Linked DNA regions of Arabidopsis thaliana. The protein of the gene in region 2 interacts with the protein of the main gene of each other region in a biochemical or structural test. Each region holds a gene or a part of one and is shown on either strand. Other genes may lie near its edges.

The links.
Region 1: of the proteins of TEJ (region 2) and PARP2, one has a biochemical effect on the other in vitro, tested with the Arabidopsis thaliana proteins (one study listed by BioGRID).

What each region holds. Positions count from the first base shown.
Region 1 is NC_003075.7:1,042,242-1,058,550, forward strand, and holds PARP2 (poly(ADP-ribose) polymerase), read left to right. Parts: upstream 1-7,524; 5' UTR 7,525-7,862; coding exon 7,863-7,946; exon of another isoform or gene 7,947-8,023; coding exon 8,024-8,285; intron 8,286-8,366; coding exon 8,367-8,512; intron 8,513-8,604; coding exon 8,605-8,686; intron 8,687-8,867; coding exon 8,868-9,103; intron 9,104-9,299; coding exon 9,300-9,429; intron 9,430-9,643; coding exon 9,644-9,699; intron 9,700-9,792; coding exon 9,793-9,866; intron 9,867-9,978; coding exon 9,979-10,025; intron 10,026-10,101; coding exon 10,102-10,151; intron 10,152-10,258; coding exon 10,259-10,321; intron 10,322-10,414; coding exon 10,415-10,495; intron 10,496-10,604; coding exon 10,605-10,715; intron 10,716-10,806; coding exon 10,807-10,882; intron 10,883-10,985; coding exon 10,986-11,128; intron 11,129-11,249; coding exon 11,250-11,323; intron 11,324-11,434; coding exon 11,435-11,540; intron 11,541-11,626; coding exon 11,627-11,719; 3' UTR 11,720-11,945; downstream 11,946-16,309. Other genes in the region: AT4G02370 (pectinesterase (Protein of unknown function, DUF538)), read left to right, coding at 217-720; SAG21 (senescence-associated gene 21), read right to left, coding at 4,173-4,392, 4,493-4,851; AT4G02400 (U3 ribonucleoprotein (Utp) family protein), read left to right, coding at 12,002-12,268, 12,546-12,675, 12,764-13,245, 13,372-13,590, 13,677-13,991, 14,088-14,396, 14,484-14,564, 14,646-14,723 and 3 more; AT4G02405 (S-adenosyl-L-methionine-dependent methyltransferases superfamily protein), read right to left, coding at 15,758-15,829, 15,901-16,068, 16,164-16,277. UniProt on the Arabidopsis thaliana protein: Involved in the base excision repair (BER) pathway, by catalyzing the poly(ADP-ribosyl)ation of a limited number of acceptor proteins involved in chromatin architecture and in DNA metabolism.
Region 2 is NC_003071.7:13,545,609-13,561,340, forward strand, and holds TEJ (Poly (ADP-ribose) glycohydrolase (PARG)), read right to left. Parts: upstream 8,236-15,732; 5' UTR 8,149-8,235; coding exon 7,906-8,148; intron 7,809-7,905; coding exon 7,623-7,808; intron 7,322-7,622; coding exon 7,218-7,321; intron 6,792-7,217; coding exon 6,614-6,791; intron 6,520-6,613; coding exon 6,415-6,519; intron 6,284-6,414; coding exon 6,165-6,283; intron 5,833-6,164; coding exon 5,689-5,832; intron 5,530-5,688; coding exon 5,385-5,529; intron 5,270-5,384; coding exon 5,072-5,269; intron 4,806-5,071; coding exon 4,743-4,805; intron 4,553-4,742; coding exon 4,391-4,552; 3' UTR 4,328-4,390; downstream 1-4,327. Other genes in the region: AT2G31862 (B3 domain protein), read left to right, coding at 162-686; PARG2 (poly(ADP-ribose) glycohydrolase 2), read right to left, coding at 1,182-1,319, 1,421-1,483, 1,574-1,774, 1,844-1,928, 2,021-2,164, 2,273-2,391, 2,514-2,618, 2,734-2,938 and 3 more; SOBIR1 (Leucine-rich repeat protein kinase family protein), read left to right, coding at 9,312-11,237; RAP, read right to left, coding at 11,492-11,560, 11,757-11,839, 11,931-13,563, 13,798-13,904, 13,984-14,107; myosin-like protein XIF, read right to left, coding at 15,152-15,284, 15,355-15,437, 15,561-15,641. UniProt on the Arabidopsis thaliana protein: Poly(ADP-ribose) synthesized after DNA damage is only present transiently and is rapidly degraded by poly(ADP-ribose) glycohydrolase. Involved in establishing period length of the circadian oscillator.

The DNA.
Region 1 (16,309 bases), on a different chromosome or scaffold from region 2:
CACTACAACCTGACTGCCTGTAGAAACTAACCACGTGTCCAGTTGTCTACCTAAAACGGCGTAGTTTATATCTAACAAAAGATATTTTCAACGACCACCATTATTACAAAAAGTCTACGACGGCAAAACGAAAATCCACAGGCGGAGAAATCAAAAAACCAAAAATCCAATCTTTGGATTCTTACTTCTACGATTTGTGTGTTTCCTCAAACCCAAATGTCTCGTCTCCCGATTTTAATCGCTTCGTGTCTCTTCCTCTCTTCACTCACCGCCGCCGTCGTCACCGCCGCCGAATCCGATACTCCGACGGCTTATTCACTCCTCCAAAGCTACAACTTCCCCGTCGGAATCCTTCCAAAAGGAGTCGTAGCTTATGATTTAGACACAACAACAGGCAAATTCCATGCGTATTTCAACGATTCATGTAGCTTCAATCTTGTTGGTTCTTACCAATTGAATTACAAATCAACAATCAGTGGTTACATCTCCGAGAACAAGCTCAAGAAATTGACTGGTGTTAAAGTCAAAGTTTTGTTCTTGTGGCTTAACATCGTCGAGGTTATTAGAAACGGTGACGAGATGGAGTTTTCCGTTGGGATCACATCGGCGAATTTCGCGATCCAAGAGTTTTTGGAATCGCCTCAGTGTGGTTGTGGCTTTGAGTGCAAGGATTCGAAATTGGACATGATTGAGAGAATCCCTTTTCTTTCTTCGTCTTGAAATTGAAAAAGGTACAATCTTTTTTTGTAATTTGTCCCCAAAAAATCTTACCTTTCGAAAAGATCGCATCTTTTATGTATTGTCCAATAATATGAGCGTAGTGTCTGGAATTTGTAATTGTTTACTTTAGTTCTATTTATTGGATTCAAGTTCTGTAATGGTGAAAAGAAAAGATACTGAAGGGAGATGTGAACATTGTGAAGTGAACATTTGTAATCTTAGATTGAATGTTTTCATTTTTGTTCATAAGGTCCTTTACTCCTTATTTGTATTGATTTGGTTTGGATGTGCTGGGAATTAGGATGGAGCTGCAGTTAGTAGGTTAGAAGCCATCTAGTTTTGGAGATTGAGATATTTGATCTTGGATAGGATTGAGCTGCAGTTAGTAGAATAGAATCTATCGATCATTCGATTTCGGATGTTACTCTTCGGTGAGAAGAGAATTAGCTTGCAGATGTTAGAGATATGTAGTGAAGATTTTATTGGTAGAGTCTGGTGCTTTTGGGGTAACTGTGAAATGTTTCATCTGTTTTGGGAGGAATTAGATCATGGTTCTTTGAAGATCTACACTGATTCCTATAATACATCATACCATTGTGTCGATGATCGATATTGGTCTATGTGATTTACTAACCTTCATAGGCTTGAGAATTGAGATAGTAACATGAAATGGGAAATGTCACAATAACTCTGAGCTATACTGATTCCCCTCGTTTGAGATAGATGTCTACCGTTTGAATGTAGATTGAATTACAGGTTATAAATCACATTCTTTTGTGTAAGGTAATATTTGATTGCTGACTAGAACATAAAAAGAGGGTTATGGAGATTTTAGGTAATATTCTTGTTCTTCTTCTTCTGGTGGGCTTTTGAGAAGAAAGGTTTTAAATTAAAAGCTTAATTCAACTGAACCGGGTTATGGATCGAATAACCGGTTATAGTTTCGGGCCTTTAATGCTTAAACTTAATCCCCGTAACTCGTAAGGATTCATAGTTCATACATCTACGTTATTATTACAGTTTTGGTCGTGAACCATTCGTCAATGGATCTGAAAGGACAAATAGGAAATCAACGAATGTGCACAAACATTTATTTCCGGTTAAGTCCTTTTAAACCGGTGACGTCGAGCTCTTGAGAGTTGATACTGATGGCAGTAAAGAGAACAATTTCGTTCTTTCTACCATATGCGACCTAGTAATGGTAATGACGTAATGAGACAGTTCTGTGGGAGGCATCACCTTATACATGTCCTTGTCAAACGAATTATGCAGGCATCGAATAGAAGTCGTGTCTAGCAAAAGATCATTAACTAAATAGAAATATCAAATTAACAAAAATAGTCAACTATCGATGACTTTTCACTTTTGGAAGAAAAGAATATAGAAAGTCTACGAAGCTTGTTCATCCAACTCCAATGTATATTTCTGATACGCATAGGAATTTACAGGTAGCAATAGTTTTTGCAGTATGAAAATAACACTACGTACATTCATTATTTGGTAACGATTTTTTTTTCTTTCTTTAAATTAGTACATGGTATAATACAAAACAACTATTTTCTTCTCGTGAAATATCTAGCATTTATTAAGCCTTTAAAAGGTTCTAGAACATAAGTTAACGTTACTCGTAAAATATTTTCAAACTTCTTTTTTCGTTTGTCTTTCTAATTTCAATGCATGGTATTATGAAGCTATAACAAACATACGTTATTAGGGTTAGGTATTAAACTAAAGGCTGACTTAGTTTTGCCAAATTTTTCAGTATGTTTACAAATCGCAGGGATGTAGGATCATCTTATGTCTAGTCGTTATCTAAACATGTGCGAAAACTTATCTTTAAGTATAAGGAATATACCAACTTTTTATAGTTTCTATTCCATTGTTTTTGAACTACTAGAATTAGTATGTCTACATCCAAATGACTTGTTAATATGCAAATAATGATTATATGAAATGATTAGATACGAATTGGCAAACAACTCAAAAGAATAAAGGAACATGTAACAAAAGAGATGACTCAATTATTTATGCATTTTATAGTCAAGTAAAAGAAAATTCAATGCTAATAGATTCGATGCACCAAGTTGCCCTCTGTCAATAAGTCTCCCTCAAGTCTCAAAGCCTTTGAGCATAATTGACTCTTCAAAAGAAGACAGGACACGTCTTATGTTTCTTTGCCCTTTTGAATTCTTTTACTTCGCCTTCAAATATCTCTTTTTTCTTAGGTTTTAATTTGAAAATGGATTTATCCAAATATATTCATATAGATTAGATATTGTTAAATACTAGTTTTGAAATTATTTTATCAATGATGATTGAATTAATTTTCCAAAAACATAAGAAATAGTTTTTGTTCCTTTTCTCCATATACCTTGTGTAAGAATGAAAACAAAAAAGGAATGAATAAGAGGATCAGGATTCAGGACAGAAAAAGAGAAGAAGAGAGAATCAAAAGTGTGGTTTGATCTTTGGGTCTCATTTAGACGTGTGAAATAAATACTTCACTAAGACAAAGATTTAATAGTTTACCCTCACTAAAGAAAGTAACTAAATAACTAAAATATTTTGTAATCATTGATCAATGTGTGATTAGAGATGGACACGAAGAGTTCAACTTAAGATGTCTACTAAACCTATTAACCTAACATACACTTGTAGTATAAAATATAGTAACAGGAACGGTCGAAACTCCAGAGGTACAAAACATGTCTTTAAAAACTGATTTAAGTTAATTAACTACATTATTAAATGATTTCTATGTCAAGTACCTGTTGCTAAATGCACTGCCACTAATTATAATCTATTACTACTAACAATTAGTAGTAACCAAGAGTCAAGAGACATGATTCTGTCGGTTATATCCATGCAAGGAACAAAACCATATAATTAAGAAGCTTTATATGTTGATCCACTACCATGAATTCCTAATGCTTATCTATGCTTATGCTATATGCCAATATTTTTTAAAAGTCCAATTGTTCATCATTACATTCCTTTTAATACGTTATCTCATACGTTAATTAGATTATAATTATAAAAAACACACATACGATATTTGAACATTTTCGTATGCCAATCAAATTGGAACGATACAAAGAAAATTATCATACCTACTCATCACCTATAGTTACATTATGATTCTGAATCAAAATAACCAATAATGGTTTTGTCATATAGGACGTTTGTACAAACGTTAAGCAATAAATTTATCATACAGAATTCTATAATCAGAATTCTGTAATCAGTTAAGAAGTTCTGAAATGGTTTTATAAGAAAAACTCTATCATACATCCAACGATCCTTTTGTTACAATTAGAGGAAACCAAACGCTTCTCTATTTTATTCATTACAGAACCGCACTTAACATATGAAAATAGGGTTCACTGCACCAGATCATTACCCACTAATCTCCTCTTAAAGACCTTGACAAAATTACATGTAATAATAATCAATCACTGCTTGTTGTTCAAGAGAGCTGCTCGTAGCTCAGCCGCGTCAATCTCGTTGGAACCGGTTTCGGGTCTGTAATAACCGGTTTTGGGATCTGGAACCCAAGAAATCTTCTGGGTTGATTCTTCCACTCCCTTCTTCTTCATCACAGCCGAAGCAACAGCTCCACTTCTTCCACCGCTCGAAACGCTCCCTTGCGCCGCCGTGGCCGCATAACCACGTCTGTTATCACACAAAAAACGACACCGTTTAGAAAAAAACAGAGCATAACTACAAGAAAAAAACAGAGCATAAAGTAGAAAACAGAACAATAGAGACTTACCGGAAGATAGCATTGGAGAGTTCACGAGAGACGAAAGCAGATACGATCTTAACGTTAGAGATAGAACGAGCCATTTTCGAAGTAAGTGGTTTCTTGAAAAGAGAGAAAACAGACTTTTTATTCTTGTAGCTTCTTGTCGCCGCCGCAGAAGGAGAGATATATCCGAGGAATGAGATAATTATACTGCGGCAACGAGATTGAAGAAAGTTGGTATCGTCTGTGTTCTCTCTCTCAAGGCTTTCGAAAATGGTTTGAAGAGATGAGAAGAGAGGAAGAGGAGAGGAAGGTTTATATAGGAGAGAGTGAAGGAAGAGAGGAAATAAAGGAAGTGACTCCGAAATTGTCTTCTCACTTCTCATAAACGGCTGCGTCAATTCTGGCCTTTGAGTCTTTTGACCCATAATTAGCTTTGCTTTTTTTATATAATTAAAGTCAAAATTGGACTTTTTTTTTTTGTTTAAATATAGTTAGATTTTAAATGTGTGATTTACAAGGGGAAATTAATGTTTTATGTCAAACAAAAAAAATCAATGATTTATTTGAAAAATGCAAACTTTCAGAGTTATTATCCAATATTTTTAGTTGAATAATATTTTTTCTGTTCTTTATTATTTAATTTTTTAGAAAAAAATTTGTTTCAAAAAGTTAATTTTTAAAAAGTTTTTATGCATTATTTATTAGTTATTATTGATAATTTGTAAACTTTAAGATAAATAATTGAATATTATTAGTTTAAAGTTATAAAAAAATATAAATTACAAAAATTAATATATTTATGATTAGTTTTAATATATTTTTTTAATCTGTGTTTTTTTTTAGAAAATTAATTATAAATTTAATACGATTTAAATAATTCGGTTATATTTTGAAAATTGTAAAATTAAATCTTAGTAAAACCGTTGAAAATTTGTGTTTCAACTTATTTTCCATTACTTTCTAATTATAACGTATTACAAAAAAAAAATTGTATTATACGAACGGTTCAATGATTGATGCTCATCTACTATAAGTAGACGTGTGTAAAGTAGGCAAAGTGAGGTTCGAATTATAAAATGTGTTTAAGCATGTCAAGATGCCATTTGTTAAAAGTTTATTGACTAACTTGCGTGTACTAGCCGTCCATCTACAATACAAAAATATGTTATAGCCTACAATAAATGATAGTATGAAAAATTAAATAGCACTATGATATTTTGAGGCGGTGGAGTTTCTATTGATTGGTTATCGATGACCACTTGCATCGTCAAATGGTTCTTTGATTCGTGGTTTCGGCCCCAGCTTCATACTATCACGAGACTCGACCATCTTGTTTTTTTCTTCTTCTTCTTGGTAAATGGTTTCACAACTTGGTTCCTCTTTCTTTCATTTTATTTTATATACTATCATAGCATTTTGGTTGGATTTCTCGAGATAGTATATTTTTTAGTTACTATCATTACATAAGTATATTTTAAAAAACTAATTATATGAATTATGTAGCTAACTAGATAGATAATCGTATAACCAATTCATGTTAGTATAGTATAGTTTAAGTATGTATTTTGGGATTACAAGTGTGGTTGGCATCAAGACAAGGATGGTGATAGCCTTTCTCTGTAATTTGGTTTAAGAAAAGTTTTTGCATTTTATGTATAAACGTGTTTTTTTTTTATAATTTAAAATTTCAACAAAAAACAATTTTTTTTAATAATGATTGACCACTATAGACAATTTAAATGATAAAAAAAACCCCCAATTTTTCACAATGTTTTGGAGATTAGTCTAGATTTTTTGTCCAAATTTTCCGATTGTAAGAATTAAGAAGCAATGAACATTTGTGTTAAGCTTAATGATTTGTACTCACAATATCTTTTAAATTTAAAATTGTTAACCAAAATATCCTATATATTGTACTTGTAATAGAAATATAAACTATTAAAAACAACACTTTATTCATATAATATAAGTTAAAACATATGTTTTTTTTAGTATGTTCTAATCACACCTATTAAAAAAAGTTGAAGCTAAATGAGCCAAAAAGAAAAATAAAGATAGGGGATGGGGACAGGCTGTAATGTTAGGCGGTTGGTATATGAACTGAGAACATGTCTGTTGGTTCGGTCCATCTACACCACTCAACCATTTGGCTATGTTTTCTTTTTGGCTTTTGCATGTTCTCTCTACTTTTCTTCTTTGGTCAAAATCTCTATCTCGTCTTTTACATGGCTTACCCGAATGTTAGTTGTCATGTAAATTTGGTTATGAAAAGATATTTTATATAAACTTTATCGTATATTAATATCGTTATCATCTAACCATTTTTTAAAACTAAACTAGAACCATCCAGTTTTACAAGAGTTTTTTTTTTTTTTTTTCTAACTAAATAATATTTGAAGTGTACAATATTAACAATATATGGGCCAAATAATAGTGGAAACCAAATCGTTAGTCCCACTTTATGATGGGCCTGTTGATTCTTATGTCTTCTTCGTAAGTTGTGATTATGCAGATTACGGGCTAATAAACATGCATGTTTAGTTTTTACTGTCCAAGTAACGAAATTTTATCTTTTGGGTTGTTGGCCCATTTCATATATTCCAAATGCCAAATCCAGCCCGGCTCGACACAGCACTGCTCGGCTCAACACTCGTATGCGGTTGGTAGCCACTTAAGACCTTGGTTTGATTAACATGTTACGAATAATTTGTGTCCCTTTTTCTTCAAGGAGACTAATCTCTTTTAATAAAAAAGAATTGTGTCATTAGTCAACACAAGTCCTATAATCCGTTTACGGTAATTTGTATGCACGTCCTTGGAAAAGTGAGTAGTGGCGTAGCATTACAGCCAAAAACTATTTGTATATTTTTCTTTTCGTTAAACAACCAGCAAAATTTTCAGAAAAATGTTCTTAAATTATAAATTAGTAGTACATTTTAAAACATAGAGATTTTTTGTTTCTTTTAATAGAAGAGTTAAACCTATGTACAAAATTTCAACTCCTTTTCAAAGTATTTGCCTGTTACTAGATTTTTAACCTTTTTTTTTTTATCTTTCATGATTTTCTATTGCTTGCCATCATCAATGGTAGGAAATAAATACTATTTTAAAAAGGTCAGGGGTGGATTTAAGAATCAATCCAAAAGTTTGGGGTCTTTTGGAGATTAAAAAGTTATATGGGAAATATCCACAAATATGAACGAGAACTTTTGTCAAAAAAATTTAAAATAATTTTTCAAAAAGCCCTAAAGCTTTCAAGGGAAGCCATCGATGAAGAAGAAAACGAAGAAGAAGACTCTTCAAATGCTCGCGCGAACTCACTTCTGACGAAAACCATACTTCCTCAGTCTCATTCCCTTTCCGACGAACTATTCTCCTGAAGAAGAAGACGAAAATGGCGAACAAGCTCAAAGTCGACGAACTCCGTTTAAAACTCGCCGAGCGTGGACTCAGTACTACTGGAGTCAAAGCCGTTCTGGTATTTCTCTGAATTGCATTGAAATACTCTTTCTATTTTGTTGATATTCGAATTTGTTTATTGGGTGTTTCGTGTAGGTGGAGAGGCTTGAAGAGGCTATCGCAGAAGACACTAAGAAGGAAGAATCAAAGAGCAAGAGGAAAAGAAATTCTTCTAATGATACTTATGAATCGAACAAATTGATTGCAATTGGCGAATTTCGTGGGATGATTGTGAAGGAATTGCGTGAGGAAGCTATTAAGAGAGGCTTAGATACAACAGGAACCAAAAAGGATCTTCTTGAGAGGCTTTGCAATGATGCTAATAACGTTTCCAATGCACCAGTCAAATCCAGTAATGGTTTGTTCAATTCTCTGGACTATTGAGAAATTTGGTAAAAATTGAGTCTTTTTAATGTTGTTATTGTCATTGTGTATTAAGGGACAGATGAAGCTGAAGATGACAACAATGGCTTTGAAGAAGAAAAGAAAGAAGAGAAAATCGTAACCGCGACAAAGAAGGGTGCAGCGGTGTTAGATCAGTGGATTCCTGATGAGATAAAGAGTCAGTACCATGTTCTACAAAGGGTGAGGATTTGGAACCTAATCTTGAGTTTTTGCATCTTATCGTGTTCATGAATGTTGTTAGAAACTGTTTCTTTTTTTGTTGAATGTTGTAGGGTGATGATGTTTATGATGCTATCTTAAATCAGACAAATGTCAGGGATAATAATAACAAGTTCTTTGTCCTACAAGTCCTAGGTCAGTCTTCCAAAACCTTCAACAATAATTTCCCTGGTTACTTTCCAAGATTAATGAGACGATACTTGTCTTGTTCGAGTACTGGAAACCTCTTGAAGCAGCTTTTGATGACTCTTTGTCATTCTTCTTGGTTCCAGATACTATCATCATTGATCTATCTTATCTATTGTGCATTGTGCAGAGTCGGATAGTAAAAAGACATACATGGTTTACACCAGATGGGGAAGAGTTGGTGTGAAAGGACAAAGTAAGCTAGATGGGCCTTATGACTCATGGGATCGTGCGATAGAGATATTTACCAATAAGTTCAATGACAAGACAAAGAATTATTGGTCTGACAGAAAGGAGTTTATCCCACATCCCAAGTCCTATACATGGCTCGAAATGGATTACGGAAAAGAGGAAAATGATTCACCGGTGAGTGTTTTGGAATCCTCACTTCTCTTTCTCTTCTTACTATTTGTTGTGTGGTATGATCCAAGGGATCTGCTGGAATGAGGTTTTTGAGTGCATATCTACTTTTCTTTTTCCCGTTTAATTGCAATTATATATTTTTTTTCTCTTCGTTCAAATGTGCACTTTACTCAGAGTTCACGATTGTTTTTTTTCTCAGGTCAATAATGATATTCCGAGTTCATCTTCCGAAGTTAAACCTGAACAATCAAAACTAGATACTCGGGTTGCCAAGTTCATCTCTCTTATATGTAATGTCAGCATGATGGCACAGCATATGATGGAAATAGGTTTGAGTCTAACTTTGATCACTTCATTCAAGTGAGAGCATCCATTGGCAGATTAACAGTGATTTTTATATGTCGATACATTATCTCTTTGTTTTGGTGTCCTATTACCTGCGTTTGTACTTCCTATCTTTTGTCCTATCCATTTGTTTGCCATTTTGCTGGTTTCTTTACTTCTTGCTGATTTTTCATACATCTTCTAAATTTGGAATTGAAGGATATAACGCTAACAAATTGCCACTCGGCAAGATAAGCAAGTCCACAATTTCAAAGGTAAAGATAGTAAACAGTCTGTTTGGTCTCATTTCCGTAAATTATAGTTTGGTGTGATTTCAGATGATATAATCTCCTCTTCCACATGTCTAGGGTTATGAAGTGCTGAAGAGAATATCGGAGGTGATTGATCGGTATGATAGAACGAGGCTTGAGGAACTGAGTGGGTATGTATCTGGTTAATTGCTAGACAATTTTTCGCATTTAGTTGATTATGTAACTGTTTCCCATAAAGAAATTAGATTTGAACTAGTCTAACTTTGTTTATCATTGATGCAGAGAGTTCTACACAGTGATACCTCATGATTTTGGTTTTAAGAAAATGAGTAAGTTCATCTGTGCTAAGGTTTACGATATATATAACTAAACATTCACTAACATCTGAATTCCGAGCTGTAACAGGCCAGTTTGTTATAGACACTCCTCAAAAGTTGAAACAGAAAATTGAAATGGTAATTTTTCCTACTGTTTCCTTACTTGACTAGTTTTGGTCTTCAGAAAAGCAATGGTTTGTCGCTACATGTTTTGTGTAGTTTTTAATATATCGTTTTTTTGTAAGGTTGAAGCATTAGGTGAGATTGAACTCGCAACAAAGTTGTTGTCCGTCGACCCGGGATTGCAGGTAATTCAGTCAGTCTATGTGGTTTGAAGGCATGAAATCACTCCGTCGTATAGTTCTCTAAGAATATGACATTATTTTTTGCAATGGCTGTAGGATGATCCTTTATATTATCACTACCAGCAACTTAATTGTGGTTTGACGCCAGTAGGAAATGATTCAGAGGAGTTCTCTATGGTAAATTTTCGGTTTTGTGAACTTTGAACAAATATCTTTGATACTCGAGCATCTCAAACATGTCTGTGTTTTAAACCTTTTGGTGTTTACTCCTTAAAACCAAAATCAGGTTGCTAATTACATGGAGAACACTCATGCAAAGACGCATTCGGGATATACGGTTGAGATTGCTCAACTATTTAGAGCTTCGAGAGCTGTTGAAGCTGATCGATTCCAACAGGTATGTTATGGTATTTCGAGCTTGTCAGTACCATACACATTATTCTGATTTCTCGTTTTTGGCATTGTGAGACTTTAATTTTTCTTGGCAGTTTTCAAGTTCGAAGAACAGGATGCTACTCTGGCACGGTTCACGTCTCACTAACTGGGCTGGTATTTTATCTCAAGGTAACATGTTACTCTTTTTCCTCTTAGTAACTACTTTTTTTCTTCTCCTCTTGGGGGATTTTCAATTGCATAGTAAAATGAACAACTATGAGACACCAAGCAGGTCTGCGAATAGCTCCTCCTGAAGCGCCTGTAACTGGTTACATGTTTGGAAAAGGGGTTTACTTTGCGGATATGTTCTCCAAGAGTGCGAACTATTGCTATGCCAACACTGGCGCTAATGATGGCGTTCTGCTCCTCTGCGAGGTATACTCGCTTCTTGTCTCTATTCATATAGAAAACAACAAAACTACTGTATAACTACAGGACCTCTATAGCCATTCAACATAACTATCCTTATGTTTCCTAACGATAAAAACTTCTCTAGGTTGCTTTGGGAGACATGAATGAACTTCTGTATTCAGATTATAACGCGGATAATCTACCCCCGGGAAAGCTAAGGTATGAAGATAATCTCATTCATATTTCACACAAGTTCCTTATCTCAAACCGCAATGAATTATGATTTACTATTTTTGTACTGTACCTTGATTTGTTATTTGATGGTTGCAGCACAAAAGGTGTGGGGAAAACAGCACCAAACCCATCAGAGGCTCAAACACTAGAAGACGGTGTTGTTGTTCCACTTGGCAAACCAGTGGAACGTTCATGCTCCAAGGTTTTTGTTTTTGTCTTGCTTCAACACACATTCACAAAATCTAACTCTCTCAAATTTCATAAACTGACTTTATATAACTTTTGCAGGGGATGTTGTTGTACAACGAATATATAGTCTACAATGTGGAACAAATCAAGATGCGTTATGTGATCCAAGTCAAATTCAACTACAAGCACTAAAACTTATGTATATTAGCTTTTGAACATCAACTAATTATCCAAAAATCAGCGTTTTATTGTATTTCTTTCAAACTCCTTCATCTCTGATTTTGCACGGTTCACTCGTATATTGGTACGCTAAACCGCAAACCATACCCAATTTTATCCGGTTTAGTTGGTATGATTGAGAAATTCTTATTCTCTGAAACTCGATTTTATTAGTATTTAAGCGAAAGAGAAGAAACCCTACGAAAATCTCAATCGGAAACTAAACGGCAAAAAAAAAAAAAAGCAGAGGCAGCCATGGGAGAAAAGAGAAAATCTACTTCGAAAACCCTAGCTAAGAACAAGAAGAGGAAAGGTCCTCATTTGCCTAATTCAATCCTGAAGACTATTGCCAATGAGAAACGTCCTTTGAACTCTGACGAAGATGACGATGAGATCGATTCCGACGATGAAAACGTCGATTTGTATGAGTATGAAGAAGGTGTGCCTGAGGAAGAGTCTAAGAAAAACAATCGCTATGACCGCGTCGATAACTACGACTACGAGCTTCCCGAGGATTTCGAGGTTTTATTCTTTCTCTTCACTAATTCTCCGCCACTGTGTGAAATTGCAAGTTTTGAACTTTAGTGATAAGAAGATAATCTACAGATTTTGGTTTTAGCTCAATTAGGGTTTTTGCTATCGGGATTCTTACGCTATAACAAATTGGTGAATCCAAAATTGAGAGTTTTTAATTGATTGATTGGTAATGAGATAGTAACTTTAGATCTGGTCTTGGCAATTGTTTTGTCCTTGTTATATGTATGTCTTATTGATAAAAGTGTCTATGATCTCAATATAGGATGAAAATGTGGAGTCAGATGATGATGAAGATGGTGGAAACAGCGAGAATGAGGAAGGTGAAGGTGATGACGATAGACACACACGGATGTTGCAAGGTCTCACTGGAATGCCAAGTGCTGCCTTTCAAGGTAAAGACTGAGTCTTTCTTCTCAGATTTTTGCTATTAGCTTTTCTGTTCATTGCATTTCTTGAAGTTTTTTTTTTTTTTGTTTACAGAAGAGAGTAAGAAGAGACCTGTACTCTATACTGAAGCGTATCCAGAGTCTGAATTCAATCCTACCCGTGATGTTCTGGAGGGTAAAGGCCTCATCTCAGTTGAGGACCTTTTGGCGCCTCTTGAAGGAAAACCTGGGTTTAACGATCTAAATAAGAGGATCAACCGGATGCAGAAAGATACTCAGTCTGTTGTTCATGCACCTTTGCCTAAGCCAGAACGAGAAAGACTAGAGCGGAAAGCTGTGAAAGGACTAGTTGAGAAGGACTTTAATAAGTGGGTGCATCTGGTCAAGAGGAATAGGGAGGCACCAACTGTTTACTTTAATCAACCTGTCAATGTTGGGTATTCTACAGTCGGTGCAATAGCATCAGAGTTTCAACCCAGGACTGAATTTGAGAAGAAAATGGCTTCTGTACTCAAAGATAACGAGCTTGGGGAGGCTCACAAAGAAGATGGCGCTAAGCTTCTTGAATTGAATGAGGCAAGTTCTGTGCTCTAGTTTTTTCCTGCACACAGCTTATTTGACTTATAATAAAACCTGGCTTTGGTTGCCTTGAAGATAGTTTATATATCTGATGTAACCTTTTCGATTAACTTGATCTGGCAGGTGTCGATGGAAGACCACATCAAGTACCGTGACCACATTGCCAAGATGCGGAGCCTGCTATTCCGCCATGAACTGAAAAGTAAACGTATCAAGAAGATTAAGTCTAAAACTTATCATCGCCTTAAAGGGAAGGACCTGAAGAAATCAGCGATGGGAGCATTAATGGACCCAGAAATGGCTAAAGAAGAGGCTATTAAGCAGGAGACTAGACGAGTAGAGGTGAGTCTAAAATTTCTTCTACCTGCACAAAATTTCTCATCAAGACACTGTCGAGTAATACAATAGTCTTGTTTGCGGTCATGAAGGAACGGATGACTTTGAAGCACAAAAACACAGGAAAATGGGCCAAACGCATGTTAAGCCGTGGACTGACTGAGAGATATGATGGAACTAGGGCAGCTATATCTGAACAACTTCAGATTAATGCTACTTTGTCCAGAAAGATGAACTCCACGAACGATGGAAGTAGTAGTGATGAGAGCGACGATGAGGAAGAGTTGAGTTGTGGTTCAGATCAGGATACTCCTTCTAAATTGATAGCGAAAGCCAGGGAGAAGACACTGAAAACTATGGAAGATGATGATGTACCCAATTCTGGTCTTCTTTCATTACCTTTCATGGTAATTCTTGCTTTACTTCCTCAAAGCATTTTTGATTATCTTACTTTGGATTTCCTTCATTCGTTAGACTCTGTCTGATGTTTTTTATTTGATTAGGCTCGTGCTATGAAAAAGAAAAATGAGGAAGCTAATGAAGAAGCTAAACGTGCATTTGGGGAGTATAAAGAATTGGAGAATTTTGGTGGAGAAGATAATCCTAAAAAATCCGCTGATGTTAGTGGTAGAAGAGTATTTGGTGCCACCTCTAAAGTCGAAGCTCCAAAAGAGTCTAAAAAGGACTCGGACAATTTTTATGACAACAGTGATAGTGACAATGATATGGAAGGTATAGAAAATAATGACCTTGGGGCTGTTGGAGATACTGCTTCACCTGCTAGAAACACTGGAGCCATAACAGAGACCGAGGTATCATTGGTTTTCCTGTTCGATTAATCACAATGGTTCTCTCTTTGCTCCTTATCAACTCCCTGACAACAATTTTTTTGTTTGTAGAAGTGTTGTGGTGATGTTGAAAATCCAGCTTCTAAGACAACATTTGATGTTGCCTTATTTGCGTCAGGCTCTTGGAAGAAGGTTTGCTTTGACAATTTTCAAATCAGACTTGGTTTCCGTTTATGTTTATCTTTGATTAACTTGTTTTTCTATGTTGTGTAGATGAAAGGCTCCCAAAATGCAGAATCCAAAAAAGCTCCAAAGACTCGTGTACCAATCTCAAAGGGCCAAGATAAAAAGGTTTCATTTCTTAAAACTTCACCTACCTTTTGTTTTATCCTTTTCTTCTCCTCACTTCTTTGCATTGAAGGAATCGAGAGATGAAGAAAGTGAAGATTCAGAGAGTGAAGCTGAGCAAATGGTTGATGGGATTTTGACATCTGCTTCGAAGGAGACCTATGAAATCCCTTCTCAAGCAGAGCTTATACAACGTGCTTTTGCTGGTGATGACGTTGTAGAAGAATTTGAGAAGGATAAGCAAGAAGTTCTAAATCAGGAAGTTCCTGAACCGGAAAAGCCGGTTCTAGTTCCTGGTTGGGGACAATGGACCAATGTCCAAAAGAAGAGAGGTTTACCTTCATGGATGGTTAGAGAACATGAAGATGCAAATAAAAAGAGAAAGCTAGATCTCAAAACAAGGAAAGACTATCGTCTCAGAAATGTTATCATATCAGAGAAAGTCGATAAAAAGGTTAGTGTCTCGCTTGATATCCCGATCCCTCTATTCGTAATCATCCCTTCATGCTCACATTATCTGTTTTTGACAGGCTGACAAACTTCATACAACGACTCTACCTTTCCCATATACATCTAAGGAAGTTTTCGAACACAGCATGCGCATGCCTATAGGACCCGAGTTTAATCCTGCGACTATTGTTGGAGCTCTCAACCGACCCGAGGTTCCTTTTTATTATTTGTTAAACTCATTGCACCATGTATTAAAATGTTACCTTTCTTTTGACCTCGTATAACCTTTTTGTGTGCAGGTTGTGAAGAAAGCTGGTGTGATAATTAAACCGGTCAAATTTGAGGAAGTGAATCCAAACGAGAAAGCAGATGACGAAAACCCTCGAAGCCATCAAAAACAAAGACCCAAAAAGGGTAGTAAAACCAGTAAAGGTCAAGGCAAAAACAAGTCCAAGCTAAAGACCAAAGCTTAGCTCTCAAGATTTCTGTATTCTCAAAACTTGTTTAGACACAAATTTTGATCCAAAAGAAAACAGTTTTGCTTTGTAATTTGTCTTATTTATAAAAGAAACATTTTGTTTGCTTCATCAGAGCTCTTCAAATCCTTGTTCATCTCCATCTTCTTCTACTCTTTGAAATTCTTGTCTCCATGTCTCCATCTGCAAGAATTTCACAATCCACTGAGTTGATAAGTAATAATGGAGACCTAGCCAGTTGTGACATTCATTACCTGATCATCTGAAAACTTGAGCTGTTGTGCGATAAAGAGAACCGTGTCATGGTTTACTGGTGAATGTAATACCACACCTAAACTTGCAGCAATCTCTTCATAGCTAACTATTTTCACCCGAAAACCATTGCTCATGAACAGTTTCTCCATCCACTTTGACAAATCCGACTGCACTCATCACCACATATAGATAACAATTTACAAACCAAAGAATAGATGCTTTTAAGGTAGAAGTCCAAAGATAGTCAAGAGATCAAAGTGACCTGTAGTGTTATATTTGTAGGCAATTCTCCTATGAGATAGCATTCATTCATGGCCAAGCTACTAATGGCCGATAGAATAGCTTCAAAACCTGATTGTGACTCCAAAGGTAAGCCCTGTGATAAATAAAAAAAATCATGTCAACATC
Region 2 (15,732 bases):
AGAATGATGGTGCGCATATTTCCGGTTCTAGTACCAGCTCTGGAGAGATTACATGAGGGCCTAGATATATCCCTTATGGATTCTAAGGGGCTGAAACAGAAGAACCGAAAGGAACCGAAGAAACGCCCAGTCCAATCTATAATGATGGAAGCCATTCAAAAATGTGGGTTAACCTTTCTTGTATGTGCCACATCGTGGACAAGTTACTTGAGCTTAATCTCAGGAGATGGAATATGAGGTCCACTTCCATTTACGTCTTGGCTTCAAGATGGAAAAAGGTCGTCTCCGATAACACTCTAATTGAAGGCCAGAGGATTCGGCTCTGGTCCTTCCACTCCCTAGCCAAGCTATATATTGCTCTTGTTCCTCTGGATCCAGCTCCAGCTCCAACTCTGGCTATCCTTCTGGCTCCAGCTCCAACTCCATCTTCGCCTCCGGTTGTTACTAGAGATTCTGACGAGCTATATATATCTCATGCTGATGCTCAAGAAGAGGGTGACAGAATACTTCCAGTTCATGCAGATAATGATTGGGAGTGCCTAAATTTATTGGCTAAAGTGTCCGAGGAGACGACTTGTCTCGAGGTTTCACAAGAGGCAAATAGGAGGAGCTCACTAGTCTCGGACACAGAGCTGGACCTCGAGCTCCGGTTGTCACTTCCTGGCAAAAACAGCTATGTTATGTGATTAGTTTCTCTTGGTTTTTTGGTTTTTTTTATGCCTTGCAAGTAGTTTTCTTCAGACTCTCGAAGATGGTTTTTTAGGATTTTTGTTCTTTTTATCTAGGTGTTATTTTATTTTTTGGTCTTTTAAACTCAATTTTCTGAGTACTGGTTTTTAGTTAATGGTCTTAGTGTAGACAGTCTGAGTGCTGTTGTTTTAGAGTGTGCTGATTTTCATTCCCTATATCGTTCCTTTCTGTTTGAACGGATGATGTTTGTTTTTGGCAAGTTTTATTTCCCACTTACCTTTGTTTCACAAGATATATAATCCTCGTAAGATTGGAACTAACCAAATTACATAAAGACTTTATATCATGAGTATTATTTGACTTCACTACAATGGATTAGCAATCTAACGCTTTAGACTTAATATGTCAGAAACAAACAGAGATATGGATAATACATTTCCCATAATTCAGACAAGAATAGTATTTTATATAACTTTGACTCAATTTTTACTCTAGGTAGACAGTGAGGTCATGAGCCACGAGAAGAAGCCAAGCCATGTTCTTCTGCTGAGCCTCTCTGAAGAATACTCAACTAGTTTTTTCCATAGGTCTCCTACAGTCATTTCTTGTAAAGCGACCATTTCGATCACCTGAAAGAACACCCACACATATATGTATAGAGCATGTTTTTAAAGTGTTGAAATGGGAGAAAGAGTGGTTTCATTGTTTAATAAATTAGGATTCTAATAACCTGATTGAGATTTTGTAAGGCTTGGAGGCCAAAGGTATAGTATGACATGAAGGGTCTTCCTGACTAGAGAAAGTAGATCGAGATTGTTTTCGCAGTTAAATAGAATGATAATTATGTTTTGTAAGATAAGTTGATGAAAACAGAGAAGCATGCCTGTGAAATGGCAAGCCACTGAAGCATGATCTTTAGTTCTGGATCACCTCCAAACACACCGCAGCCCCAGTTCCCTGTAGCTACACCAATCTTTTTCTCTTCATGATCGATACACCATCTATGAGAGCTTTCTATAACTTGGCTCGCAGAATCTGATGTAAGAGGAACATGCTGCTTTGCGAAAACAAATTTAATCTTGGTCTAGTCAAGAAAAACAAAATGCTTAACATGTATGCTAAATTCATGTATGGAGCATAATTGTGGTCTTACCGAAGATGATGCCTCAGGATCATGCTTAACATCGATATTATATTTACATTGATGCATGTATCCGCTAAAAGCCTTATTAACCTCTCTACAGAAACAAAAGGAGCAATTGAGTAATTCACAAACAAAATAAAAAAAAGGAAAGAATGAAAAACTGGCTGAAAGACAAGTTTTGATTACCGAATGAGGGCATCAAGTTTGTACTGTCCCATTCCTGGGTCAGGCATGGCATCTATAGCTATGACTCTTGTTTTTCGCCTCCTGAAAATGTCTAAGTCCTTGTTGTCTGTGTAATCACCAGCATATTGGAACGAAGGCCCATACCTGAATGGAGCCACCATGAGTTGGATTTAGAGAGAAGACTATATAATAAGCTTAATATCAACTTTGAAGACCCAATAAACACATCTACTTCAGTTCATTGGTACTTACCCTGTATAACCTGAAAATCTTTCAACACCAACAATCTCAATTGCTTCATTTGCATCCATACGAGGCAAAAAGATCATGCCAGCGATAAGTTCCGGGTTGATCACGAACCTTATTTCTTCCTACATAGGTATATTTTGACATGTTCAACATATTTTGAAATAAGAAAAACTTATAACTTATTTAGTGGATGAGATAGTAGAGTTTTTAGAAGAGATGGAAGAAAAGGAAGTACAAGTCAGACCTGTAGAGTATCATAACTCAGAGTAAGGCCTCCAAAATACTCATCTGCAAAATCTACTTCAAGAGCTTCACAAGGTTGATCTTCTATAGCTCCCGAGGTGTGAATCTACTCCAATAAAAAATGGATCAAAAGGAGAATAACCTAAAGCATACTCATGAATCATCTGAAAGAAATGGATTCAACGGCGAAGAAGGCTTAACTAGGAGTGTTTCTATGATACCTCAATGGAGCAAAGTGGGGTGACAGAATTAGCCCACGAATCAGCCTTGGGATAAGAAACAAAGTGAGGATGGTATTCCAGTGGAAGAATTTTCCTCTCAAATGAAACAAAGCCGGTGGGCATCCATCGACATATTCTTCCAAAGTAATGGATAAGGCACTTTATTTTGTTTTCTTGCTTCGTGCAGTGACGCATATACGGAAACCTTAAAAAAACACAAGAAAGATTTGTGACTTTGGGGCATATATGGTTGTAACTTTTAAGAAATATGATGAAGACACATACGAAAACAATCCACTAAAGTTGATTCCTTGAAGATTCTTTAAGCTTCTGTCAACTTCAGGGAACAAGCAAAAGAAGGAACACGCAAGAAGAGCTGCAATCAACTCCTGCAGAAGGTAGCAAAATACATCAAGGGGTGAAAAAGTTGAAGAATAAAGGAACGAAGCTTGGTTTCAAAAATCAAGCAAAATTTCATTTACAAAGAGTACTAGACAGTTACTATATCAATCTTTAATTCAATGCAACACAAGGCATGTCTTTGTTTGGACTGAAAGAGTATACCTGGCTAAGTAACACAATTCCAGCTTCTTGAGGGCCTAATAGACGAAGCCCGGACTTAACTCCATCAAGAACATGGTCTGCCTTCTGATAGTGTTTTTCTAACATGGAAGGTAACTGGAGAAGTAATCTGCACAATGCAGGAACCACCTCACCAAAAAAGTTTGCCGACTCTTCTCTGGAAATTTTCTGCATCACAAGAAGAAATTTTTTTGTGAGTACTTTATGCTCCATGACAAATGTTCCCCCTAAGAGTAAAATGAATAAGAAAAACACAAAACACTAAGAAAGTGGATGAAAGAAGGACAGAGGAATTGTTACCTTGTCAAAGAAAAGACCATACCCTTGTAATGCATAAGGGGCGAGATCAGATGCATTCAAGGAGAGAGATTTCCGCATATTCGTGATATGCAAGGCAAGAGCCTCTCCCGAGTTAACCATTGACTCACTCGGTCCTCTAGATATTGTTTGGAGCTCTTCTTCGACAGAAGGTGGCCAAACTAGTGATGAAGACTGAGCCACAAGAGGCAAATACTGAAGAATTGACCTAAGATCTGCCCTCAGTTCCATCCTTATTGCCTGAAAAGGAGATTAGAAAACTTAGGAGATGAAAGTTTGCAAATGATTTAAGGATATGGACATTTGATGTTGTATCTCTATATGACTTAGTCCGTTGGTAGCTTAAGGACAAAGAAACCCATTTGATTTTTCTTTTTAACAGATGGCACCAAAGTCAATCAGGAACACGTTTTCCAGAAAGACCGAGTCAAATTTACTCTTGACAACAAAATGTTGGTGGACCATAAACTTTTCCCGGACTAACTTTCCCAGAAGATTCCAGCATAACCCTGTAATTTCAACTGATAAACAAAAAGAACTTTTTTCTTTAAAACAAAAGCCTGATTCAAACATTTGACCAAAATCATAAATCAGCAAACGCACTAAACTAATTACGCTTGAGGTCAAGAACTGGCGAGCTTACAACGGATTCAAGCTTGTAAGAGGAAAATAATCACTTTTACACACCCATGTGGGAAAATGCAGAGATACAGTATGAGAATGCATCAAACAAGTTAATGAAGGAGAATTTGCAGAGTCAAGGCGGCTGGATAGCTTTGTTGGTGGTAGCTAGAGATGGAAGTAGCCAAGAAAAGAAGCCAACACTGGTTTGCTTGTAGAGCCTTTGAGCAGAATATTCTAACATCATGTTCCACAGATCTCCAACAGTCCATTTATGGGAAAGAATCCACTTCGTCACCTATCCTTGTAAGAGTATGTATCAGTTTCAAAATCAAGATATGTTCACAGACGACCTTAAAAGTACTATACCCTGGATGCTCTATCCGCTTACTACAAACCCAATTCTAAGTAAAATGTCAGTGGAGAAAAAGAAGACACTGTAAGAGAGGTTCTAGAATTGTGAAGTTTAAAAGAGTATCGGAGGTTACCTGATCTAGGTTTCGGAGTGCCTCTACTCCAAAGGTGTAATATGATATAAATGGTCTTCGAGTCTGAAATATAGCCATGACCGAGTTAAGAAAGAAGCATCAAATGAAAATCGCTATATATCTCATCATCCAAGTCGAAGCTTTGGTTCATTCTAGAAAAATTAAGTCAAAAGTGACAATGGAGTGTTTCTTACAGTCAAAACAGACTAAGTCTGTGGTTTCATAGAAAGATCTATATGTTTTTATTCTTATGGCCTACTGGTACTCAACTTGTATACTCCAGGAAAATAATAATTTCATTACTTTTAGCTGATGATGTATAAAAGCACCTGGGAAGCAGCAAGCCATTGTATCGTAGCCTTTAGCTCTGGGTCTCCTCCAAAAACACCACATCCCCAATTCCCTGTCGCGACACCATCATCTTCATGATCCTCGTTATCAACTCCTTCCACATAAAAATCTCTGATAAGATTGTTAGCAGGCTTTTCTCTATTCATCTCAACATCATTTAGTGGAGTTCGGTGTGACTGCATCAGAAACAGTAGAGAACAACAAAAAAAGTTGAAACATTATTTTTCAAAAGCTAATTCAAATTGGCTACAAATGAAAAAAGGTACTAAAGGTTTGTAGGATGATTCCAACCGCAGTAGTTTCTGTACGCAGAAGACCAGAATCTCTGCCGTTTCGGACAAGCTGAATTTCATTATCTCCTTCATCCATGAATATATTCTGGTGCTCCCAAGCCTTGCTACAATTTAAAAAGCCACATAGTGCCTTATTAATTTCCCTGAAAAAAGCAGAAAGAGGAGGAGACATTAAATTTCACGTGGAAAGAGAATAGAAGAGTATAGAAAGAACTTAGTAGCAAGACTCCAAAATGTTGTATAGACACAAACTGTGGATTGTCTGAAAAACCTATGAATCCCCAAAAGAAGGTTTCACATACCTTAAAAGACATATATCTTTAAAGTGTCTCATCTTCGGTGTACATAATGCATCAATTGCAACAATTCTGGTTCTTCGCCTTTTGAAAGGATCCATTGCCTTTTTGTCAATGTACTCACCAGCAAACCGAAACGAAGATGCATACCTAGGTAGAAACAAAAATCATAGAAAAAAAAGGTAAATAACTACAAATAACTAACCTTTCTTCAAAACTTGATAATTTAGATGCCAACTACTATCGGCCATTTCTAAGTCAGCAATACATAGTTATCACCCTTATTTATGAAGCACACCTACAATATAAGCAATAATCTAGACGTACATTTCTTTTACTATTTGTCAACATGCCTCAATCAGGATTTGTACAAACTGATCTGAAACGAGCCTACTGGTATGTAAAAGTATCAAAATACAGAGACTTATCAGCCAATATATTAAATAAACACAGACCAATGCTACAAAACTACCAAATCTCACCCTGTGTAACATGAAAATCTTTCCGCACCAACTATTTCTATAGCTTCATTGTCATCCATCCGAGGCAAGAAAAGCATGCCAGCGATTAATTCAGGGTTAATCATGAAGCGTATCTCTTCCTGGACAAGAATCCAATTGGAAGTCAATGAAAAATCCTAAACCATTGATTTACAATAGATCTTTTGACAAAAAAAATGAACTCAAGAATCATGTATGCTTGTGAAATCTAAAATGTAATATGATCTCAAACCTGCACGCACCCTCTACTTAGGGAACCACCTCCGAGATACTTGTTTGCAAAGTCCACTTCGAGAGCATTGTCAGGTTGATCTTCAATTAACCCAAAAGAGTGAACCTATAACAATAAAGCTGTCAGCAAAAAGTAATGTACAAGCATTTGCAGATTTAATATTACAAGGTACAGAAATCCACAAGCCAATATTTGTCACCTTAAATGCACAAAGAGAAACGTCAGACTTGCTCCAGAAATCAGCATCAGGAGCAGCGGTAATCTTGCGTTCAAATGAAACAATACCAATAGGCACGCAGGAGCAAAACCTTTCAAAGTAATGCATAATACATCTTATCTTGCTTTCTTGACTTTGACTATAACTTATATAAAGGCTTCTGAAAAGCAAGTAAAACTCGGATATCAGACTGTGGGCATACGAAGTCCAAGAATCCAAATGAAACTTACTCAATGCACGGTAGACAAGAATTTTCAGAATTAAAATCTTCACATGCACATGATAGCCAATGAATCATAGAAATATGTGGTTTTTCTCACAACAAGCTAATCCAAGTCTAACTAGTGAACTCCCAATGGAGACTGAGGCCCATATGCGCTCTCTAGCGGATTTGCTTTCTCACTCTCGAGTGTGAATGTCAATAAATTACATATTAAAGGTTCCCTTTCTTTCACATACGTGCTTGATCATTCATGACTTAAGCCAAATGACTGACATTTTAACATTAGGCATTTCTTCCAGACCAGACTAATGTAGGCTTAATCACTATGAAAGGTTTAGAAGAGAAAGCAGAGAGGTAACATACGCAAACAAATGATCAAAGTTGATGACTGGAAGGTGTTTTGCACCTCTATTATCATCCGGAAACAAACAAAAGAAAGAGCATGCAAGAAGAGCTCCAATCAACTCCTGCAATATTGAAGTTCGAACGGACAGGTAAGAAAAGCAAGAATCCATAGAGACTATATCTTCAACAACACAAGGTCATTATCCAGTATGAACACATGTATATTCAACACAAGGTCATTATCCAGTAAGAAAAGCAAGAATCCATAGAGACTATATCTTCAACACACAAGGTAATCATCCAGTAAGAACACATGTATATTCGACGTAATTTCCTCCCCATAAATCACTACTCAAGAGTCAGGAATAGAACCAAAAAAACACCTTTAGCTCAAATGTAGGAGATAGCACTTTGTATCAATACCTGGCTGAGGAAAACAATGCCAGCTTGTTGGGAATTTAACAAACGAAGACCGGTTTTGATTCCACTAACAATATTATCAGCATTTTGGAAATGCACTTCTAACAGAGATGGAAACTGTAGAAGTAAGCTCGCCAATGCTGGGATAATCTCATCGAACCATCTCTTTGATTCTTTCTCATCAATCAACTGCGAGTACCAAAAACTTAGTTCCACTACTCAATTCGATTTGAAGATACACTCAAATCCAAAAGCAATCACCATAAAGTTAAAAAGAGATAATTACTTCGTCAAAGAGAAATGCGTAGCCATTAGAAGCAGATGGCTCGAGAGTAGAGAAAGATAAGGATCGTCTCATATCGAAAATAGCTTGCCGTAGAACCTCTCCTGAGTCAACTTGGCTGTGAGATGGTCCTTCAGACATTGCCTTTAACGCCTCCACCACACGCGGCGGCCAATACAGCGACGACGAACGAATTACAAGTGGAAGGTACGGAAGAATTGAGTTAAGATCTTCGCGATTCTCCATTTTTCGATTTTTCTAATCTCACAGCTGTTCTCAATTGCTTTTGAAACAGGTTTACGAATCGCTTCTGCGACAAGATTCTGCTGCCGCTAGAAGATACTCAAGTCCCGGAGTAAAAAATCTAAAAAAGTCAAGAGTGCGAAGGCGAAAGGCAAACCGGTTTTGTAGAACCGGGAAGTTGGAACTTGAACCATATCGGTAATGTATTGGTTTAGTGGCAATAACATCCTCGTTAGCTATCTGGTTAACTCATTTTAAGTTAAAAGCCAGTTTCGAGTTATTTCACACTCACCAGTTTGGAATCTTGATACAGACAACGAACGTATTGACGGAAAACGCTAAAAGAAAGTGACTGGAAAATAGAAGGTGTGTGTAACATAACATTTATTTTTTTCTAACGTGTAGGAAACGGTGGCTCACTATGGAACCCACAGCGTAGACTTTGACTTATCAACGCTTACATAGTCAAGTCAATAACAAAATTCGCTATATCAATAATACAGTTTTGCAACTTTCTATATTCACATTTTCTACTTTATTATTTTCCCATAAAACTTCCTGGAAGAATTTAAATCAAAAAAAAAATGTACAATTTAGCCCATTTCACAGGTCAGGATTATCAGTTTTTATAATGGTTTTTTCTTCTTTAGACTTTAATTAAAAACAGAACTCTTATTAAGAATATACAAATAATTCAAAAAGTATACGCTGAATCAATGTTTCTCCAAAACCATTGATAACTAAATATCATAATATAAAATACAATTTTGTTAGGAGATCTTATGTAAGAATTCAGTAATCTATCATTAATATCAAACTAATCAAATAAAATACTAGCAATAGAAAACCCCATTTTTTCGATATGAAACCGGGGCTTGGATGGATCCCTTGAACAAACCATAAATTTTTCAAACTGTTAATTTAAGTTTACCAATTATATGTATAAGTGTATAACAATATTAAGAAATTAACTTGTGAATATATTTTGTAACTTTATTTTTTTTGGGTCAAATATATTTTGTCACTTCAAAAATAAAGTTTTAGAAGAAAAAAAAAACCACGAAACACGTAAAGATTTCTCAATAGATTAGTACCAGTTGCTGACCATAAATAGACAGAGTGTAGACTCCGACAACATCCACAAGAAGAAACTTTCTCTAATTAAAATGGCTGTTCCCACGGGAAGCGCCAATCTCTTTCTCCGGCCTCTCATCCTCGCCGTTCTCTCCTTTCTTCTTCTCTCTTCATTCGTCTCCTCTGTTGAGTGGCTCGATATCGATTCCTCAGATCTCAAAGCTCTTCAGGTCATCGAAACAGAGCTCGGAGTCAACAGTCAACGTTCTTCGGCCAGTGATGTCAACCCTTGCGGTCGCCGAGGAGTTTTCTGCGAGAGACGGCACTCTGCCACCACCGGAGAATACGTTCTCCGTGTCACGAGGCTCGTCTACCGATCCAGGAGCTTGACGGGGACTATCTCTCCGGTCATCGGAATGTTGTCGGAGCTCAAGGAACTTACTTTGTCTAATAACCAGTTGGTCAACGCTGTTCCGGTGGATATCTTAAGCTGTAAGCAACTTGAAGTTCTTGATCTTCGGAAAAATAGATTTTCCGGTCAGATTCCGGGAAACTTTTCTAGTTTGAGCCGTCTTCGAATCCTTGATCTCTCTTCGAACAAGTTATCCGGGAACTTGAATTTCTTGAAGAATCTACGCAATCTGGAGAATCTCTCTGTTGCAAACAATCTCTTCTCAGGCAAAATCCCGGAACAAATTGTGTCGTTCCACAATCTCCGGTTCTTTGATTTCTCCGGAAACCGGTATTTGGAAGGTCCGGCTCCGGTTATGAGCAGTATCAAGCTTCAGACATCTCCACATCAAACAAGACACATTCTTGCTGAAACTCCAACTTCAAGTCCCACGAACAAACCCAACAACAGCACTACATCAAAAGCTCCAAAGGGAGCTCCAAAACCAGGGAAGTTGAAGAAGAAGAAGAAGAAGAGCAAGAAGAAGAAAGTAGCGGCATGGATCTTAGGGTTTGTCGTTGGAGCCATAGGAGGAACAATCTCTGGGTTTGTCTTCTCGGTGTTGTTCAAATTGATTATTCAAGCAATAAGAGGATCAGAAAAACCACCAGGTCCTTCCATATTCAGCCCATTGATCAAGAAAGCTGAAGATTTAGCTTTCTTGGAGAATGAAGAAGCGTTAGCTTCTCTGGAGATCATAGGAAGAGGAGGTTGTGGAGAAGTTTTCAAAGCTGAACTACCAGGAAGCAATGGGAAGATCATAGCTGTGAAGAAAGTGATCCAACCGCCTAAAGACGCCGATGAACTAACAGATGAAGATTCCAAGTTTCTGAACAAGAAAATGAGGCAAATTAGATCCGAGATCAACACAGTCGGCCATATCCGGCACCGGAATCTTCTCCCATTGTTAGCACACGTGTCAAGACCCGAGTGCCACTACCTCGTTTACGAGTACATGGAAAAGGGGAGTTTGCAAGATATATTGACTGACGTACAAGCTGGAAATCAAGAACTAATGTGGCCAGCGAGGCACAAGATTGCTTTAGGTATAGCTGCAGGGCTTGAGTACCTTCACATGGATCATAACCCACGAATCATTCACAGAGACTTAAAGCCAGCCAATGTTCTTCTTGATGATGACATGGAAGCCAGAATTTCAGATTTCGGACTGGCAAAGGCAATGCCAGATGCAGTCACACATATTACAACCTCGCATGTTGCAGGTACTGTGGGATACATAGCACCAGAGTTTTATCAAACCCACAAGTTCACAGATAAATGTGATATCTATAGTTTTGGAGTGATTCTTGGGATTCTGGTGATTGGGAAGCTTCCTTCAGATGAGTTTTTTCAGCATACTGACGAGATGAGTCTGATAAAGTGGATGAGGAACATAATAACATCGGAAAATCCTAGCCTTGCGATTGATCCGAAGTTGATGGATCAAGGATTCGATGAACAGATGCTTCTGGTTCTGAAGATCGCCTGTTACTGTACTTTGGATGATCCAAAACAGAGGCCGAACAGTAAAGATGTCAGGACCATGTTGTCCCAGATCAAGCACTAGTGTTTCAATATGTATTGTTTGCTTCTATCTATATTTCCTAGATTCCTGTTGCATACGAAATAACTATGAACACAATCTTGGCAGAAATTTGTAATGGCGACTGTAAAATTTAAATGGATTTCAATTATGATTATTGCTCTAAACATAAATCATCAATCTACTATAAGAATCTTAGCTATATACATAACGGAAAAGAACACTTGATTAACAACCTTAAAATGACAACACATTACATGTTTGGTTACTTGTCTTCTCTATATGCAGCCGGTGAGAATCTCCCTCAAATATTCTAGCTGTTCATGACTGCCTTCATGTTCTTCCCACTAAAAATAATAAAAACAAAGTCAACACATGTTCAGTATGTACTCCTGATTGAGATGGGAAAACATATCAATTATGCAAGAGCATGTGAGATCTTTTTACTATTGAACAGAACAAGTATTCTAAAAATGGAGACAATTTCTTATCCTAGCAACTCAATTTTATATCAGTTTCCATTTTTCAACGTTATAGACCCACCTCTTGAAGAGACAGAGATACCACTTTCCATCCAGCAGCAGCAACATATCGCCGCTTCAGCATTGTATGCCCTAATGGTAGTCCTGTAGAACACAAGAGTCGAAATGATCATTAAGTTTGGGTTGGCTCCACCAGACACCAATATATATTAAGAAACAGAGTGATGTCACTTACCAGAGTTTCTTGAAAAATGAGTTGGCCCGTCGATTTCTAAAGCAACTTTCTTCTCGACCAGAGCAACATCCACGGTGTAGCCATCCACATCATGTTCTTTAGCCCAATCAAGCCCTGTACTTATAAGAAGGCGTCCAACTTCTTTCTGAAACGATGAGGTTATTTTCTGATTGAATCTTTTGGTTTTTCCTGCGCGGCTTATTTTTTCTTCGAGTTCTTGACAAAGTGACAACTGAAGGTGGGGGCACTCAAGCTTCAAGCACTGATTCACAAGATACACCTGAGAAGCAAACATGACATCTTCCCTATACTGTTCTGAAAGCCTTTGCTCCTCCAAGGTGGTTAAAGTATTCCATATATTGGCAAAGAAAGGTCGCTCCACTTGCCCAAGAACAGCATAAGACCATGCTATGTTTCCAAGCTGGTCCCTGTTAAAGCTAAGTGCTGGAGATCTTGAAACATCATCGCTTACTTCAGCATCCACTACTTCATCAGAGTTTGTTATTTCTTTCGTCAAGTAACACTTGAACTGGTCACTGCTTTTGAATGCACTATCCAAAGATTCAAGCAAAGGATCAGCTGGCTCATAAAGTGAGGCAAATGACCACAATAGTTGAGCAATCTCTTGACCCTTAAAGGTATTGATAATAGTAGATGCCCTCTTTGACAACTCAGCAAAGAGTTCTGGAGCAGAATGCCGCATGGAAGCAAACGCCCCAGCAATATTAGCAACATTCTGAGAATTGAACTCACCCACCTTTGATGTGGCAACTTCTGCAACCCTATCCATCTCTGTCAAATATAGCAATTCACCTCCAATTTTGGATAATGCCCAAGAAATATTTGAGATGCCTTGAGCTGAACATTCTGGTAGACATGTCATTGCAAGAGCAACAAGCATTGACATCTCTCTTTGCCGAGCAAATGCAAGCCTACGAGTTCTCATCATTGAAACTTTCTCCATATTCTTGGCAATTCGGTGAAGTGCAGTAGCAATATTTAAAGGAGACAAAGGTGATGGACTTAAACCTTTGGCAACAGCCATGATTGTCTCAGCAGTTACTTCCAATACCTCTTCAGCAGTCTGTGCTTCTATTATAGCTTTGTTCAGGTTGATTTCCTTCATACGATCAGAAGGTCCTGAAAACTGGGATAGCCTCTGAGCTAATTGCTCCTTCATCTTCTCCTTCTTTTCCTCAAACATTCCACCAGCTAATGAGCTAACTCTCTTCCGTAGATCCCCCATCTTATCCTCCACAAATCCATCTTCAAAATCCAAATCTTCGTCCTCGGTATCAAAATCATCTTCTGGAATACTTTTACTTTTGACCTTGTCTTTCTTTACAATGACTTTCTTGCTCTTTTTCTTTTTCTTCTTCTTCAATGGCATCACCTCCGCCATTCTAGAAGATAACCCTCTTGCCTCAATCGATTTAAGTGCAATTTTCCTTGCCCTTACACACCAATCCATCCCTTCAGTGTCCTCAAGCGCTTTCGAATTCTTCTGCTTTTTCCTCTTCTTCGGAGGTTGAATATCCAACGGATCAATCTCCCCGAGAAACTCTGCTTCCCAGTCCCCATCATCATCCTCTTCTTCCACTTCTTCCTCCGAGTTACCAATCACAGACGCATTCTGAAGCAACACCAAGACAATATGTGAACACTCAAGCTTAGAATTCACAGATAAATTTGTTTCTGCAACCTTATCCAAAAGGACCAAAACCTTCCACATCATGAGTCACATACAAATGAAGACTAAATCAATAAAAGCAACCACAACAACTCCTCATTCACATACTTATATGAAAATTTCAAGTATCTCTGAAATGAAAAGGAAAAAAAAAAAACGAAATTTCTGAGAACTAACCACGGAAAAAGGAAGGTGCTTGAGAGAGTCCGTACGGCGATGCAAGGAACTCCTCTGTGCTAGAGGACCAACAAATCGATACTTCTTATTAGAAAGAGGCAAAATCCCTGGAATTGACGTAAGAGCGAGTCAGGATATAAAGCTGGGTTGATTGACTAAGAAGAGAAGAGGAAATGAAATGACGACCTGATGCGAAAGAGGAGGAGGAGAGAGAAATATGGAGATTTCGGTGGTTGTGGTTAACGATACGGTGGCGTGTCTCCGGCGGATTGAGACAGAAGCATCGCCGGAATGGAACTACACACTCCATCTTCTTCTATCTGAGAATTTTAATGGCAGTGCTGTGATTTTTAACAGAGAGTGGGTTTTAGCTAAACCCTCTTGCTAGCTTAGCGAGTTTGCTTTCAAACCAAAGCACTAATAAAAGATGTCCATTAATTATCTTAGTGATCCCTCAAAAATCGCCTTATTATAGAACATGCCCACTATTTTGTTTGGATAAATAAATAATTTTAGATATTACTATCATGATTTAAATTGATAAAACTAATGAAAATAGAGGTAAAAAACTCAAACTCTCAAACTATGCCACCATGCCCAAACTATGCCACCATGCCTTTTGCCACTAATCTACATTAATAATTTTGCTAAAAATATGGCTAATCTTGTATATAATCAAAAAATAGCCGCAAACAGAAGTTTTATTAGCTTAGTCTCGTCGACGGCTTTGATCATACACATATGGAATCAAGTACTAATCCGAAGTGCACAAACCTCAACATTCATTTTTTGTCAACAATATGCATTTTGTGAATCTAAATTCAGATGGTAATACAACGAATCAACGAAAATACTAATACAAATCATTATATTAGTAAGTAGTGTTTTTTTAATGTTAAATTATATTTAAAGGGGAAAAAAAATTGTAGATCCACAAATTATCCTAATAAGGACCAAATGTAGCACTGATTGGTTTTTTGATATTCCTTTTGTGTCAAATTCAAAATTTTACAAATCCAATTACATTAACACATATAATATTCATTACATCATGTGTATCAAAAACGAGTATACCATGTACGATATGAATCAAAACTCTATCTATACACAATGTAAATTTTAAGTGATAAAAAGCAAAGAACCCCAAACCAAATGAAAAATTAAAGGAATCATAAAAGAGGAGAAGCTTCTTGCTTCATGTGACAGAAAAAAAAAATTTGAAAGAAAAAATTGAAAAGCTTCCATTTCTGTAATATATGGAAAATTCGTGGCTTAATTAATAAATTATAAAAGATTCTCAGCTGTTGTAACCTTCTATGAGACAGAGAAGTTTCTCTCCGACGTTTCTCTTCCTTTATTCCGGCAATGTCTGGAATAAGAAGTGAAAATCAGATCGCTGGCGGAGAAGCGGCGATGGATCGACGTCGGAGAGGCTAATGTTACCGCCGTGGAAGGATTGCGAAACATCTTCCACTGAGAAAGGAATGCTGAAACATGCATTGAGAGTAATTAGGGAGAGAAACTGAGAAGAAAGCGAGAATTTTGTTTTTTGCGTACCTTGAATCGACGTCTAGCAAGAAAGAAGGGTAAGTCATGTTCGCTGAATCTTCCGTCATTAGTTTCCTCATCTGATTGATCACCTATTATCGGCACAAATCGTTGGATCATGAGCCCAATCTTAGTTTTGTGTAATTTGGATACAATCCTGGTTCATGGTGTTTGAAGAGAATTTCTGGAGTTAGTTAGGTTGATCCATTACTTACCTCGGGGGAGAGTCCTTGAGTTCCGTATTTGTCGTCCCAAAACATAGTCCCGATTCGATATACTTGTGGAATGCTTAGTACCTGAGCAACAAATCAACAAATCAGGGGACAGTGACTGGAAGTAGAAATGTAGGATGGTTTAGTTATGCCATCTTGTCATTCTCTAGATGCT